2 linked regions of the Arabidopsis thaliana genome follow. The protein of the gene in region 2 purifies or fractionates together with the protein of the main gene of each other region. This does not show direct contact. Each region holds a gene or a part of one and is shown on either strand. Other genes may lie near its edges.

Region 1 (5,014 bases), on a different chromosome or scaffold from region 2:
CTTTTTCACCAACGGTGAAATCGACATTTTTTTTTATTTTTTGGAACTTCGGATGGTACATTGATGAAGCTACCAAAACCAAGTACTAAATGTGTTACGTATTATATAACTTTTTAAAATAAATACATAATAAAAATTAATATTGAAAATGATTACACAATTATCTTACAATTAAAAATTGTTACACCAACCCTTCGTAGAAATATTAGGTGGTAACAAAAATAAATTAATGATTATTGAGAGCTTAACTTATAATGAGCTCATTTGAGTTGTTTGATCCTCAAGTCCCAACCACCAACCCATAACCCATTCAACATGTTTCCAGTTGGTTTGCATAATGTAAATGAATACTACACACACGAGACAACCACAACATGCATATATGAATAAGATATATATGGTTGAAATTGGAAACAAACTAAACGTTATTTTTACTTTTTAGTTCCACAAAAACTTTTGGATATGTTTTGATCAATAGTGGAATTGGGGCAGCAAAACAAAACTAGAATCTAAGAGTTTGGTTTTAGTCGTTTTCAAATATACGTGTTGAAAGTGGCCTATGGATGGATGGATTCATTTTTTTCCAAAAAAACAAACCGGTCTAATTAGACTGAGCGGTTATCCAATACCAAACCAAACCAACTATTTATTAAGTCAAAGGTAATCCAATGAGCAATTTCAAATCTAACAAAGCAACAACACACAGTGAAAAAAATCCAATGAGATAGAATCAACAGCTTTATCCATGGCTGAGTTCTAATATCTAAATGATGCTCAACACTACTTTACAAGAATCTCTTGAGTCTTTGGAGTCTTCAGGATCAGTTTTGAGGGATGTTTGATCATTGTACAATACCGTGGTCACGAAGGATCTAGAAATTTTCTTGCCACTCAAACTTTTCAGTTCATCCACAGGATGTTCTCGACTTCACAACATTCCAACTTTGTCAAAAGATTGGAGATTCTCAGCGATTTTTTGAAGTGCTTCTTCACTCATCTCAACTTTTCGGACTACACCCGGAAAGATCTTGTTCTTCTCGGAAGCAGCAGTGGGAGAAACTTGACCACAGAGCTTTGATTTCATCTCTAAGCAAGATTTGAGATCCTCTTCGGTTCTTGCTTTGTTCAGTTTATCGATTATTTCATTCAAAGCTGAACCTTTCTCTTCCCATTTCTTTCTTTTGACCCGCCTTTTGATATCATCTTGATCATCTGAAGAACTGCCTAAATCCAGTCTCTTAAGCTTCACCAAACCGGCTTTGACTGTCTCCGCGATCCGCTTCTTAAAGCTCTCTGTTCTTGCAGAGTTCGATCTCAGCCTCAGTTTAAGCTCTGAAACAATATTTTCCTCTTTGTTTTGCTCAGGAGCTGCTGTTCCATGACTCTCTTCATCAGGAACAGATGTAAATGAAAATGCTTCTTCGAGTAAATTCACATTACTCATGTACCGATCAAAAGCTTCATTTTCTACTTCAATGTTTCTGTCTCTGTACTCTTTTAGCTTTGTAAACCGCCACTCGTTTAAAGCTTGAGCATCCTATAGAATATAGACAGAACAAAAACTGATAAGAGGAAAACAACTAAATGGAGATTTTTCATAGAGTACTAAAGTCAATGAAAGACGTCTTAATTAGTATACCTTTATCGTCAAAGGTTTTCTCTGGCGGGAAGAAGCATTCAGGTTATTAAACTGAGCAAAGTTGCTAGAAAGTTGCCGGATTGACGAAACTCTAGTGGTACTCCTGAAACAATTTCCAAAAGAAGAAAACGTCAACATAAAGCGCCATATTTTAGTTCCACAAGACCAATATATCATCTCACTATCAACTACGTGCAATAAAACAAGAAAGCTGAAGAATCTCCTATCAAAGTATTAGTAAGCAAACACCGGTTTATCATCTAAGATTCACTTGCCCATGGAAGCACAAACAAAACAGAAAATTAGTTTATATATATGTACCCGGGAGTGCCCTCGGTTGCTTTCTGCTCTGAAGATGGAGTACTTGGCGCCTGCGTCTTCTCACCAGACGTTGAAGCTACTTTAAGAACTGCAGCGAAATAAAACACATAAGAAGAAACACAAAACAGTCCATGATAACATCTCTATATCTCTCAGCTAATCACAAGCACATTCCAAGAATCAGTCTTATGGTTCTTTATAGGTTTTTTTGTCCCGAGACAACCAAACGAACCCTATAGAAGTCAAGAATACTAAACTCTAAACTTACCAAGTGAAAGAATAGAACTCTCCAATCAAAGTTATCAACACTAAACTCTAAAACTGATCACTTTAGCTAATTATGAAGTTGAGATTTGACAGGGCAAACATACCGTGAATCGGGCAGGGATTCTCTGCTCTTGAACAACAACCCTTACAAGATTGAAAAGGGCACCTGCATTTATCAAATCCAAGCAATACAATTACAATTACTTCACCAATAATCTCAAAAAACTGATCTTTCGATACTAAAGCTCAAAACTTTAAACAATCTCCAACAGATTAATCACCAAATCATGAATAAAAACCCAAACCCACAAACCTATGAACCCTAAATCAAAACGAAAAAGTACTATACAAGACAAATTCGAATCCTTTCAGATCAAAAACCCAAGAACAATCCATAAATCGAAACCCCAGATGTAAAAAACCTAAGTCCTTCGATGAAACAATGCGTAGAAGCAATACCTGGAGCGAGCTACATTGCCGCATTGAATACACTTAGGCTTATTGAGACCACGGAGAGTTTTGGGAGGCGTGACGACGGAGGAAAGACCATTGTTACTCAGAGACGGTGACGAAGTCGCCATTGATAAAAAGTAACGGTTTAAATTAAAACCGTTATTCAACGAAAGAGATAACTAACGACCAAATAAAACTCGTGCGAGTGAGTAACAAAAAATTTGGAATCGAAAGGATTGGTTTTTATTTTTTTTTGTCGCTCTGATTTTGCGAAGTGCTCTCAATCGCTCGATTTCACGGCGGGTCTAGGGCTCCGGTTATTAATAATACCACGTGAGTCGTTTTTATATGGGCCTGGGTTTTAAAGCCCAATATAATTTCTCTTTAAATTGAACCGAACTTAACCAAATCATGAACTTTATCCGGGATCAGACTTGTCAGATAAATCAATATAAGCCCAAAAAAAGCCCAAGTAATTAGGTTATTCTATCGAATCAGATTCACATATATATAGACGTTATTGTTCATATGAACAATAGAACATCAATCTAAATAATTTAGTGTTTGCCGTTTGGGCAAATCTTTTTCTTCCTCATCTCTTCCTTCGCTTTGCTTTAGAGTCTTTTCATAAGTAAAAGAAACAAAAACAATAAATCATTCTACTAATTGACTTGTAACTCGAAGCTTTGATTTGGACGTTACAAGTGGTATCAGAGCTTCACACTAGAAGCTTCTAGATAGAAGTCAATTTGGCAGACAAAACAATGCATTTAGATTTTGGTGCATTCAACTTCAGAGTGTTTTCATATTTTTATACTACTCTATACTATTTTGCAATTGATATCGCTTTCTAACTTATTATTCTGATGCATCGATCGCTATATGATTATATTGCGTAACCTTGGCTGATTTTGCAGCTTCAATATACTTAGAGTCAATTTTGTACTTGGCTGATTTTGCAGCTTCAATATATTTAGAGTCAATTTGTATGGACTTGCAGATTTGGATGGGTTAACACATAAAAATATAGTTTATACTTTATAGACATGATTATTTAATTAATTAGTTGATTTATCATTGGTTTTAGATTTAGTAGACTATGAGGACTGTCAAGAGTCCACACGACGATCAAACTAAACAACTCTGATGATAATAGAGACTACAAAACAAAACAGAACTGAACAATTTTACAAAACAACAATTAAAAAGTATAATTTAATCGGAATAATAATATTTGCTCACCAATATATAAATTTTAATTATTCTTCTTCTTTTTATTTATTTGGTAAATATTTAACCATCCATTCATGATTTAACGATTACAATCGAGATAAATACCATTGGATAACAAAATATTACGAAAGATTTCCTCACCAATTCTTCGCGACATAGTGAACGTACATCTCTCAAGTTGTTACTTGTAAATTGCAATCATTCGCATAATCTATGTTGCATGAAAACGGAAACGGAAATGCGGATACGAAACGTTTCGGAAACGGGAAACGATTTTTTCTTAAAATTAGGGATTGGAAACGTTTTGGAAACGTATACACATTTATACATATATATAACATTATATATATATATATAACATTAACATAAAACTATATTAAAGAAAAAATGATTTAAACAATACAAGTCCAAAATATCAATATTAAATAAATAAACTAAAATTCTAAAAGATAAAAATTAAAAGGTTCAAGTTCAAATAGTTAATTTAGACCAACATTTTCATTAGTTTTATCAAAGATAATATAAAGCTCTTTTCAAATCTGGTTTAACAAAAGAAAGATCTTAAAACTCAAAGTCTTCCAAAATTATTTATATGTAATAATAATTTTAATATTTTCAATTTTAGTTATTAAATTTTTAAAGTCAATAAAAAAGATTTGTCGTATGTCTATTTCGGAAACGTGAGTTTCTATTTTGGAAACGTAAGTTTCCATCGTGTTTCTAAACCTAGATTTTTAGGAAACGCGTTTCCGTGACGTTTTTCGTATTTCCGGAGAGTTTCCGTTTCCGAAACGTTTCGGAAACGAGAAACGCACCTCGGAGCGAGTTTCCATGCAACCTAGCGCATAATCTTGCAAAAAAAAACATTAATACATAGGCCTTGGTTATTTTTTAATCCAACTTCTCTATAAATTGAACCTGAACTTAAACCAAATCAGAAATACATAAATCGGTCGGTTTGTGAGGTATTAATCCGAGATATGAGATATTTTTTCTTTTTCTTGTTAACAAATTAAAGGAGCAAGAATCGTCCTTATCAAGTAAGGACTTGATTTTCCAAAATATATTTGAATTCCTTTTTTGTAGGATCTTTTGTGGATC
Region 2 (7,934 bases):
AAATGACTTACTCAGCAAAGCATTGATGAATGCTGACTTCCCTACGTTAGCTGCACCCTGTGAAAGTATGAAGAAATAATAAATGAATATTTTCTAAACCGTCAAAGAAGTTTCTTTATAAATGCATAGCCTCTATCTCCAGTAAACGAATTTATGAATTAGTGGATCATATCGAGCAGTGTTGTGTCGAGTTTGTTGTTCTGATGGACATCCGAGAAAATTGATTTTCACTAAGCACTGCCTCTATCATTTAAAGTGTGTTAAGCTATTAAGTAAATAGTAAGAACTCGCATCAGTTAGCAATAGGTTTACAAACTAAAACTCTATTTTGTTGGTGACAAAATTACGAATGCACATACCAGAATGTAGACATCTCGTCCCTGAAACAAAAACAGGGATACAGAGGTCAGGTTACAGAAGGTAAATAAAGAGAAGGTTATATTGTCCGACACTGAGCCATAATGGAAACAAAATGTACGCTAAAGAAAACAGCTTTAAGGTGGTGCAATATATAAAAAAAACGCTACCTTTTTCTCCTTCTGGATCTCTGATGCAACTCCGCTAACTCCATCCAGGGACTTTGAACTTGTGAGATGGACACTCAAGACACTGAAAAGTTATATCACACCCAAATCAAACACTAGCTCCAGAAACATTACATCACTTTCTAGCAACAACCATAGTAGATAAGTACTTGATACCTACTTAAGCTTTTTCCTCATGGTCACTTCCACAACCCAATCCCCGATACAATTCATATCCGTTCCTTTTGGAAGAAGATCAATCTAACAATACAAAACACAATTATTTACCATAGTTAGAAAGAATTGAAGAAGTAGCCATGTTATAAAACCTTACCTTAGTTATAACAAGTATAATCGGATTAGCTCCAACTAAATCACGAACACGAGCTAAAAAGCTTCCATTAAAATCCACTATATCAACCTGCAACACAACAAGTTGACGATCTCTTGGAACATAAAACAGAAAAGAGAAGTTCATTCTAACAATATCTACTCACCAATTTAACAATCAAAGCTTTCTCATGGCGTAAATGAGAAAGTTTCTCACGAAGTTCATCAGCTGATACAAATTGTTTCCCACCTGGATAACCTCCATTACCACCAACTGCTGTAATCATATGTCCATGTGACAATAGCTGACATCTTCCACATATCATAGTTCTTAACTGGTGATGCTTCTTCTTCTACAATAAACACAGAAGAAACCATCTCTAATTCATCAATCAACTAACTCAAAATTGAGATTCTCAAGCTCGAATTCATACCAATTCATAAGTAACCAAATCGACAAATCCCGGAGAATCGACGTCGGAAGTTTGTAACGGAGCTCCGCAGCCGTAACAACATGAGACTGAGGTATCAACAACTTTCCGTGCAATAATCTCCTCTTTCTTTTTCTTCTTCTCCTTTTTGATCTCTTTCTTCACTACTTTCTGAGCTTCATGAGCTCGTTGGTTCTCCAGGAACCTTTCTCCAGGGGTTGGAGCAGCCGCCGCAAATCCATCTCGTTCCGAGAGTGAAACTGGTGGTTCTGAATTAGCTATTGATTTACAGACGATTGATGTCGTCGGATTACGGTAAATGACGGTGAGATTGGGTTCACGTCTCGTCGTTGTGTGGCGACGAGGAAGAGAAGGAAACGTTGAGAGTGTTCGTAGCGCCATTGCTGAGATTTTTCCTCACCAGCTGTTGTTTGTTGTTATGTTATCTATTAAACCCAGAGAGAGAACAAGAGAGACTCTAACTGGTACAGAGGTTTTACTCGAAAGAAGAACCTCTGGTTGATTGGAGACGGTTATATCCGCCCGGGACAAAATAACCGGAATCGAATACCCGAAATGAACCGATCCAAAATTAGGGTATAGATTAGAAATTCAGTTTCCCGCTCTTTTGCTACCAAATCTCAGAAGGCCCAATTTTAAAGAGAAAATTATGTTTTTTTATTTGGTAAATTGAAAAAAAGAAAAAAGAAAAATTCAAATTTGCTTGTAATAATCCTCTCAAAGAGAATTCAGTTAGACGATTCGTCTCTACTTCTCCTGCAACGGTTAGATTTTGAATCTACGCTCTCAATTTCGGAAGCTTGTTGTGATACTTCCGTCTGGGTTTCCATTTCTAGGGTTTATGGGGTTTAGTTTCTAAATTAGGGTAAAATTTGGGGAAGAAGAAGACAACAAAGATGCATATAAAGGAGATATGCTTGGAAGGTTTCAAATCATACGCAACGAGGACAGTAGTTCCGGGTTTTGACCCGCATTTCAACGCGATTACGGGTCTAAACGGATCCGGAAAATCCAACATCCTCGATTCCATCTGCTTCGTTCTAGGTATCACTAATCTTCAACAAGTTCGAGCTGCTAATCTACAGGAACTCGTTTACAAGCAAGGACAAGCTGGAATCACTAGAGCCACTGTTTCAGTTACCTTCGACAATTCCGAGAGAAATCGAAGTCCTTTAGGTCATGAAGATCATTCAGAGATTACAGTAACTAGACAAGTAAGTCTTATTTAAGGTTTTAGTGAAAAAAGGTTTCGTTTTTAAGTTTTGTTAAGAGTGAATTTTGTTTGTTTGTGTGTGTTTGAAGATTGTAGTTGGTGGAAAGAACAAGTATTTGATCAATGGGAAGCTTGCACAACCAAATCAAGTTCAGAATCTTTTCCATTCGGTGCAGCTTAATGTGAACAATCCTCATTTTCTGATTATGCAAGGGCGTATTACCAAAGTTTTAAACATGAAACCTATGGAGATTTTATCTATGCTTGAAGAAGCTGCTGGTACGAGAATGTATGAGAATAAGAAAGAGGCTGCGTTAAAGACGTTGGAGAAAAAGCAAACTAAGGTTGATGAGATTAATAAGCTTCTTGAGAAAGATATATTGCCAGCTTTGGAGAAGTTGAGGAGAGAAAAGTCGCAGTATATGCAGTGGGCTAATGGTAATGCGGAATTAGATCGGTTAAAGAGGTTTTGTGTCGCTTTTGAGTATGTGCAAGCGGAGAAGATTAGAGATAATTCGATACATGTTGTTGAAGAAATGAAGATAAAAATGACTGGTATTGATGAGCAGACAGATAAGACACAGGGTGAAATATCGGAACTGGAGAAACAGATTAAAGCTTTGACTCAAGCAAGGGAAGCTAGTATGGGAGGAGAAGTAAAAGCTTTGTCTGACAAAGTTGATTCATTGTCTAATGAAGTGACACGTGAATTATCCAAGCTTACTAATATGGAGGACACCCTTCAAGGCGAAGAAAAGAATGCTGAAAAGGTTACCTGACAGTTATTACCTTGGGTTGAAATTGTTACAGATTCTCAGCTATTTCTGACATTTTTTGGTGTTGCTAGATGGTTCATAATATAGAAGATTTGAAGAAATCTGTAGAAGAAAGAGCTTCTGCTCTCAACAAGTGTGACGAAGGAGCAGCAGAACTAAAACAAAAATTCCAGGAATTTTCAACCACATTGGAAGAGTGTGAAAGAGAACACCAGGTAGTTTTAATAAGTAGAAGCTTTATTTACTGAACCTATCTTGTATGTTAATTGGGTTTACATCCCTTGATAATTAGGGTATACTAGCTGGTAAGAGTAGTGGAGATGAAGAGAAATGTCTCGAAGATCAACTACGTGATGCAAAGATTTCTGTTGGAACAGCTGAAACGGAGTTGAAGCAGCTGAATACCAAAATTAGTCACTGTGAAAAGGAACTAAAAGAGAAAAAGTCTCAGTTAATGTCAAAACAAGACGAAGCTGTTGCAGTGGAAAATGAACTTGATGCTAGAAAAAATGATGTAGAAAGTGTAAAAAGGGCATTTGATTCTCTTCCATATAAAGAGGGTCAGATGGAAGCATTGGAGAAGGTTAGTATGCTTTCCCTATGATTTTTTTTCTTTCTTCTTCTGTTACATAATGAATACATCTGTGACTCAAATTTTCTTAGGATCGAGAATCAGAACTTGAAATTGGGCACAGGCTGAAAGATAAAGTGCACGAACTTTCGGCTCAATTAGCAAATGTTCAGTTTACATACCGCGATCCTGTGAAAAACTTTGATCGATCAAAGGTGAAAGGTGTGGTTGCAAAACTGATAAAAGTGAATGATAGGTCCTCAATGACAGCTTTGGAGGTAAGTAAGTTATTATATTGTTGTTATATTATTATACTTTGTCAGATTGTTTGAGTTCTCTAAGGTGACTATTTTTTCAGGTTACTGCTGGTGGGAAGTTATTTAATGTTATTGTAGACACAGAAGATACTGGAAAACAGCTCCTTCAAAAGGGTGATCTTCGGAGAAGAGTTACAATTATTCCTCTTAACAAAATTCAGTCTCACCTAGTTCCACCTAGAGTGCAGCAAGCCACTGTTAAATTAGTATGTGGATCTTTTTTGTTCTACTGTCAAATTCAACTCTTTCTTTGTTCCTTGCTGATTTTCTGCTAATTTCTCCAGGTTGGAAAGGGTAATGCGGAATTGGCACTTTCTTTAGTTGGTTATAGTGAAGAATTAAAGGTGGGTTGGTTGCCTGCTCAAAGTACCAAGAATCTGATACATTTGCAATTTTGCATCATCTATTAGTTTATCAAATTTCTGATAACCTTATATTATGCAATGCAGACAATTAAATCCTCTCACTCATGAGCTGTGTAACTGCTGATTTTGTGTTTTAGAACATTTAGTTATGGACAGACTGATACCATGAATCCAACTATTCAATTTCATTTGACATTCTCTAACTTTTTGCAGAATGCCATGGAATATGTTTTTGGTTCCACTTTTGTTTGCAAAACTACTGATGCGGCTAAGGAAGTAAGTATTTCCTAGACATTAGAGTACCCTGTGTTTTTTGAGGTGTGTAGAGCTGTATTCTAAGCTGGTTATATAACAACCTTACTTGACATGTGTTTTCAGCTGGGCCTTTGTTATATTGTCATCACCTCAATCTTCTCTCAAAACTTGGACCGGCGATTTCCCTCTTTATATTAATGGAATATGACTCTAGCAAAATTTAATTCCTATAGTTCTCATATATGTTCATCGTTCTCAAATAAATTTTTTTTTTTGCTCAAAATTTGATTGGTTTGCAATTGTCAGACATAATTTATTTTCCGTACTATCTTCTTCCTTATATTGAGACTACTCTGTTTTCTTTAGATATTTCATTCGTTGATTTGTGTCTCAAATGGTTGTTCGGCAGGTAGCATTTAATAGGGAAATTCGGACTCCTAGTGTTACACTTGAAGGTGATGTATTTCAGCCAAGTGGTCTTCTTACTGGTGGAAGTCGCAAGTATGTCATTCTTTCTATTAGACCAGTAGATCTTCATGGCGTTCATCTTCTTGATTTCATATAGATATGGTTCAGCAAGGCCTATAACCTGACCAAAAACATTATATATTTTGTATTCCTCTGTTGCAGGGGTGGAGGTGATCTGCTAAGACAACTTCATGATCTGGCCGAGGCTGAAACAAAATTTCGAGCACATCAGAAAAGTTTGTCTGAAATTGAAGCAAACGTATATATTTCTTCAATTTTTGATATGCTATTGCTTTCCTTTTAGAAAAAGACACTTTGGCCTTTGACAACTGAATTAGGCGCCATAGAATTTCTACCGAACCATTTGAAGTAAAACCATATACATTTTCTTCAGGTTAGAATTAGATCTGGGTCATTGGGAACTCGAGGCTCATGTCTGTTCATTGGTGATCTAAAAGAAAATATAATCTTAGCTGCTGAAACTGACACTTTGAACCTTATTTAGATGTCTCATCATCTTAGATAGTCAATCAGTTTGGTTGTTTCTGGTTCAAATGAAACATGGTTTAGTTAGTGCCATTGCAGCATATTGATATACCATGTTTATTTTTCTAGGATTTATTGATAACTCAATTATGTTTGTGAAGGCTCCCACATAATGTTGTTGTCGACTCTGGGTTCCTACTGCAAGTTATATGGTTTTGCATAAACCCTACATGTTCTTCAAATTGCAGATCAAGGAGCTTCAGCCTCTTCAAACGAAGTTCACAGACATGAAAGCACAGTTGGAGCTGAAAATGTATGACATGTCCTTATTTCTAAAAAGGGCTGAACAGAACGAGCACCACAAGGTTTTATATTTTTTCTTGTCTTCGTATCTCCATTTGTCTACATCCTTGTAGCTTAAATTTCCGAATTATATTTTTTCCCTTCCTATTGGTGCTAAAAGACATATTTATAGTATCACTCCCTTTTACCAATTGTATATATAGCTTGGTGACGCAGTGAAGAAACTTGAAGAAGAGGTTGAAGAAATGAGATCCCAAATCAAAGAGAAGGAAGGTCTTTACAAAAGTTGTGCTGATACTGTCTCCACGCTGGAGAAATCCATCAAAGATCATGATAAGAACAGAGAGGGAAGACTCAAGGACTTGGAAAAGAATATTAAAACTCTAAAAGCTCGTATTCAGGCATCCTCAAAAGATCTAAAGGTATCCCAGATCTTTCAGTCAAAGATTCTTTTTCTTTGTCCTGGACCCCTGGTTTACCAACTTTTTGCCTTTTACATTTCTAAAATGGCTTCATAGCTTTTGGTCTATGTTTCTTCTTGCTCATAGGGTCATGAAAACGTAAGGGAGAGGCTTGTGATGGAGCAAGAAGCAGTGACGCAGGAACAGTCATATTTAAAGAGCCAGCTAACTTCATTGAGGACGCAAATTAGCACTCTGGCTTCAGATGTGGGCAATCAACGAGCCAAGGTACTGCAATTATTTCTATCTGTGTCTTTTAACTATAAAGAATATACGAGTAACATGTGGATGTGACCCTTCTGCAGGTGGATGCCATACAGAAGGATCATGATCAGTCTCTCTCTGAGCTCAAGTTGATACATGCAAAGATGAAGGAATGTGATACACAGATTAGTGGTTCTATTGCAGAGCAGGAAAAGTGTCTGCAGAAGATTAGTGACATGAAGCTTGACAGAAAGAAGTTAGAAAATGAGGTCTGCCCTCTTCACTTTGTTTGTCTGGAAATACATGTGTTATTTCTTGCAGCGTTCTCCCTATCTAATGACAGATGTCTTGGGTTCACTTAATTACTTTGACTTTAATATTGAAGTAGGACTGGGTGTTGGATGATAGAGGTGGATATAAGTATTAGGACTTCCTGGTAATTCGGCTTATAAAAAAATTGAAGATGTTGTATACTCATGGGAGAACATTTTACTCTGAGTAGGTGACAAGGATGGAGATGGAGCACAAGAATTGTTCAGTGAAGGTAGACAAACTTGTTGAGAAGCATACATGGATTACATCTGAGAAGCGGCTTTTTGGAAACGGAGGGACAGACTATGATTTTGAATCCCGCGATCCTCACAAAGCAAGAGAAGAACTTGAAAGACTCCAGACAGATCAATCAAGGTATGTTTCTAAGGATAGTCATAGATTTAATTTTGCAACTTATATAATATTCACTCTCATGCAATGCAATATCAATGGAATGTGCTTTATTTTTCTTTTTTGTTTCTTCTCTTTAATTAAATGAGAAATCTCTCCTCTCGTTTCCTGGCTATTCATTCTCTTATAAAGTCTAGAGAAAAGAGTGAACAAGAAGGTCACGGCTATGTTTGAGAAAGCTGAAGATGAATATAATGCTCTTATGACCAAGAAAAATATAATCGAGGTTAGTTTTGGAGGGTCTGTGCAACATAGTTTAAAAAGCTTAAAACACATTTACGAACTATGTTTTTTTTTTTTTCATTTTCTTAGACTGACAAATCAAAAATCAAGAAAGTTATTGAGGAGCTTGATGAGAAGAAAAAAGAAACACTGAAAGTTACATGGGTTAAAGTTAACCAGTGAGTTGCTTATTTAGTTTCTTTACTTAACCATGTGATTCACTTCTCTTTACGATATTTAAAGTTGGATCCTTATCGTTAGGGA

The links.
Region 1: the proteins of ATSMC2 (region 2) and AT1G32730 fractionate together in Arabidopsis thaliana (co-fractionation; one large-scale study listed by BioGRID). This does not show direct contact.

What each region holds. Positions count from the first base shown.
Region 1 is NC_003070.9:11,838,871-11,843,884, reverse strand, and holds AT1G32730 (electron carrier/iron ion-binding protein), read right to left. Parts: upstream 2,976-5,014; 5' UTR 2,809-2,975; coding exon 2,687-2,808; intron 2,394-2,686; coding exon 2,332-2,393; intron 2,049-2,331; coding exon 1,961-2,048; intron 1,743-1,960; coding exon 1,640-1,742; intron 1,538-1,639; coding exon 929-1,537; 3' UTR 577-928; downstream 1-576.
Region 2 is NC_003074.8:17,484,563-17,492,496, forward strand, and holds the start of ATSMC2 (Structural maintenance of chromosomes (SMC) family protein), read left to right. Parts: upstream 1-1,927; 5' UTR 1,928-2,202; coding exon 2,203-2,520; intron 2,521-2,608; coding exon 2,609-3,289; intron 3,290-3,366; coding exon 3,367-3,510; intron 3,511-3,587; coding exon 3,588-3,878; intron 3,879-3,958; coding exon 3,959-4,144; intron 4,145-4,224; coding exon 4,225-4,389; intron 4,390-4,467; coding exon 4,468-4,527; intron 4,528-4,761; coding exon 4,762-4,824; intron 4,825-5,212; coding exon 5,213-5,304; intron 5,305-5,433; coding exon 5,434-5,530; intron 5,531-6,005; coding exon 6,006-6,122; intron 6,123-6,263; coding exon 6,264-6,482; intron 6,483-6,608; coding exon 6,609-6,749; intron 6,750-6,826; coding exon 6,827-6,994; intron 6,995-7,227; coding exon 7,228-7,412; intron 7,413-7,580; coding exon 7,581-7,674; intron 7,675-7,760; coding exon 7,761-7,849; intron 7,850-7,931; coding exon 7,932-7,934. Other genes in the region: NOA1 (P-loop containing nucleoside triphosphate hydrolases superfamily protein), read right to left, coding at 12-57, 360-380, 528-609, 706-785, 859-945, 1,022-1,207, 1,289-1,687.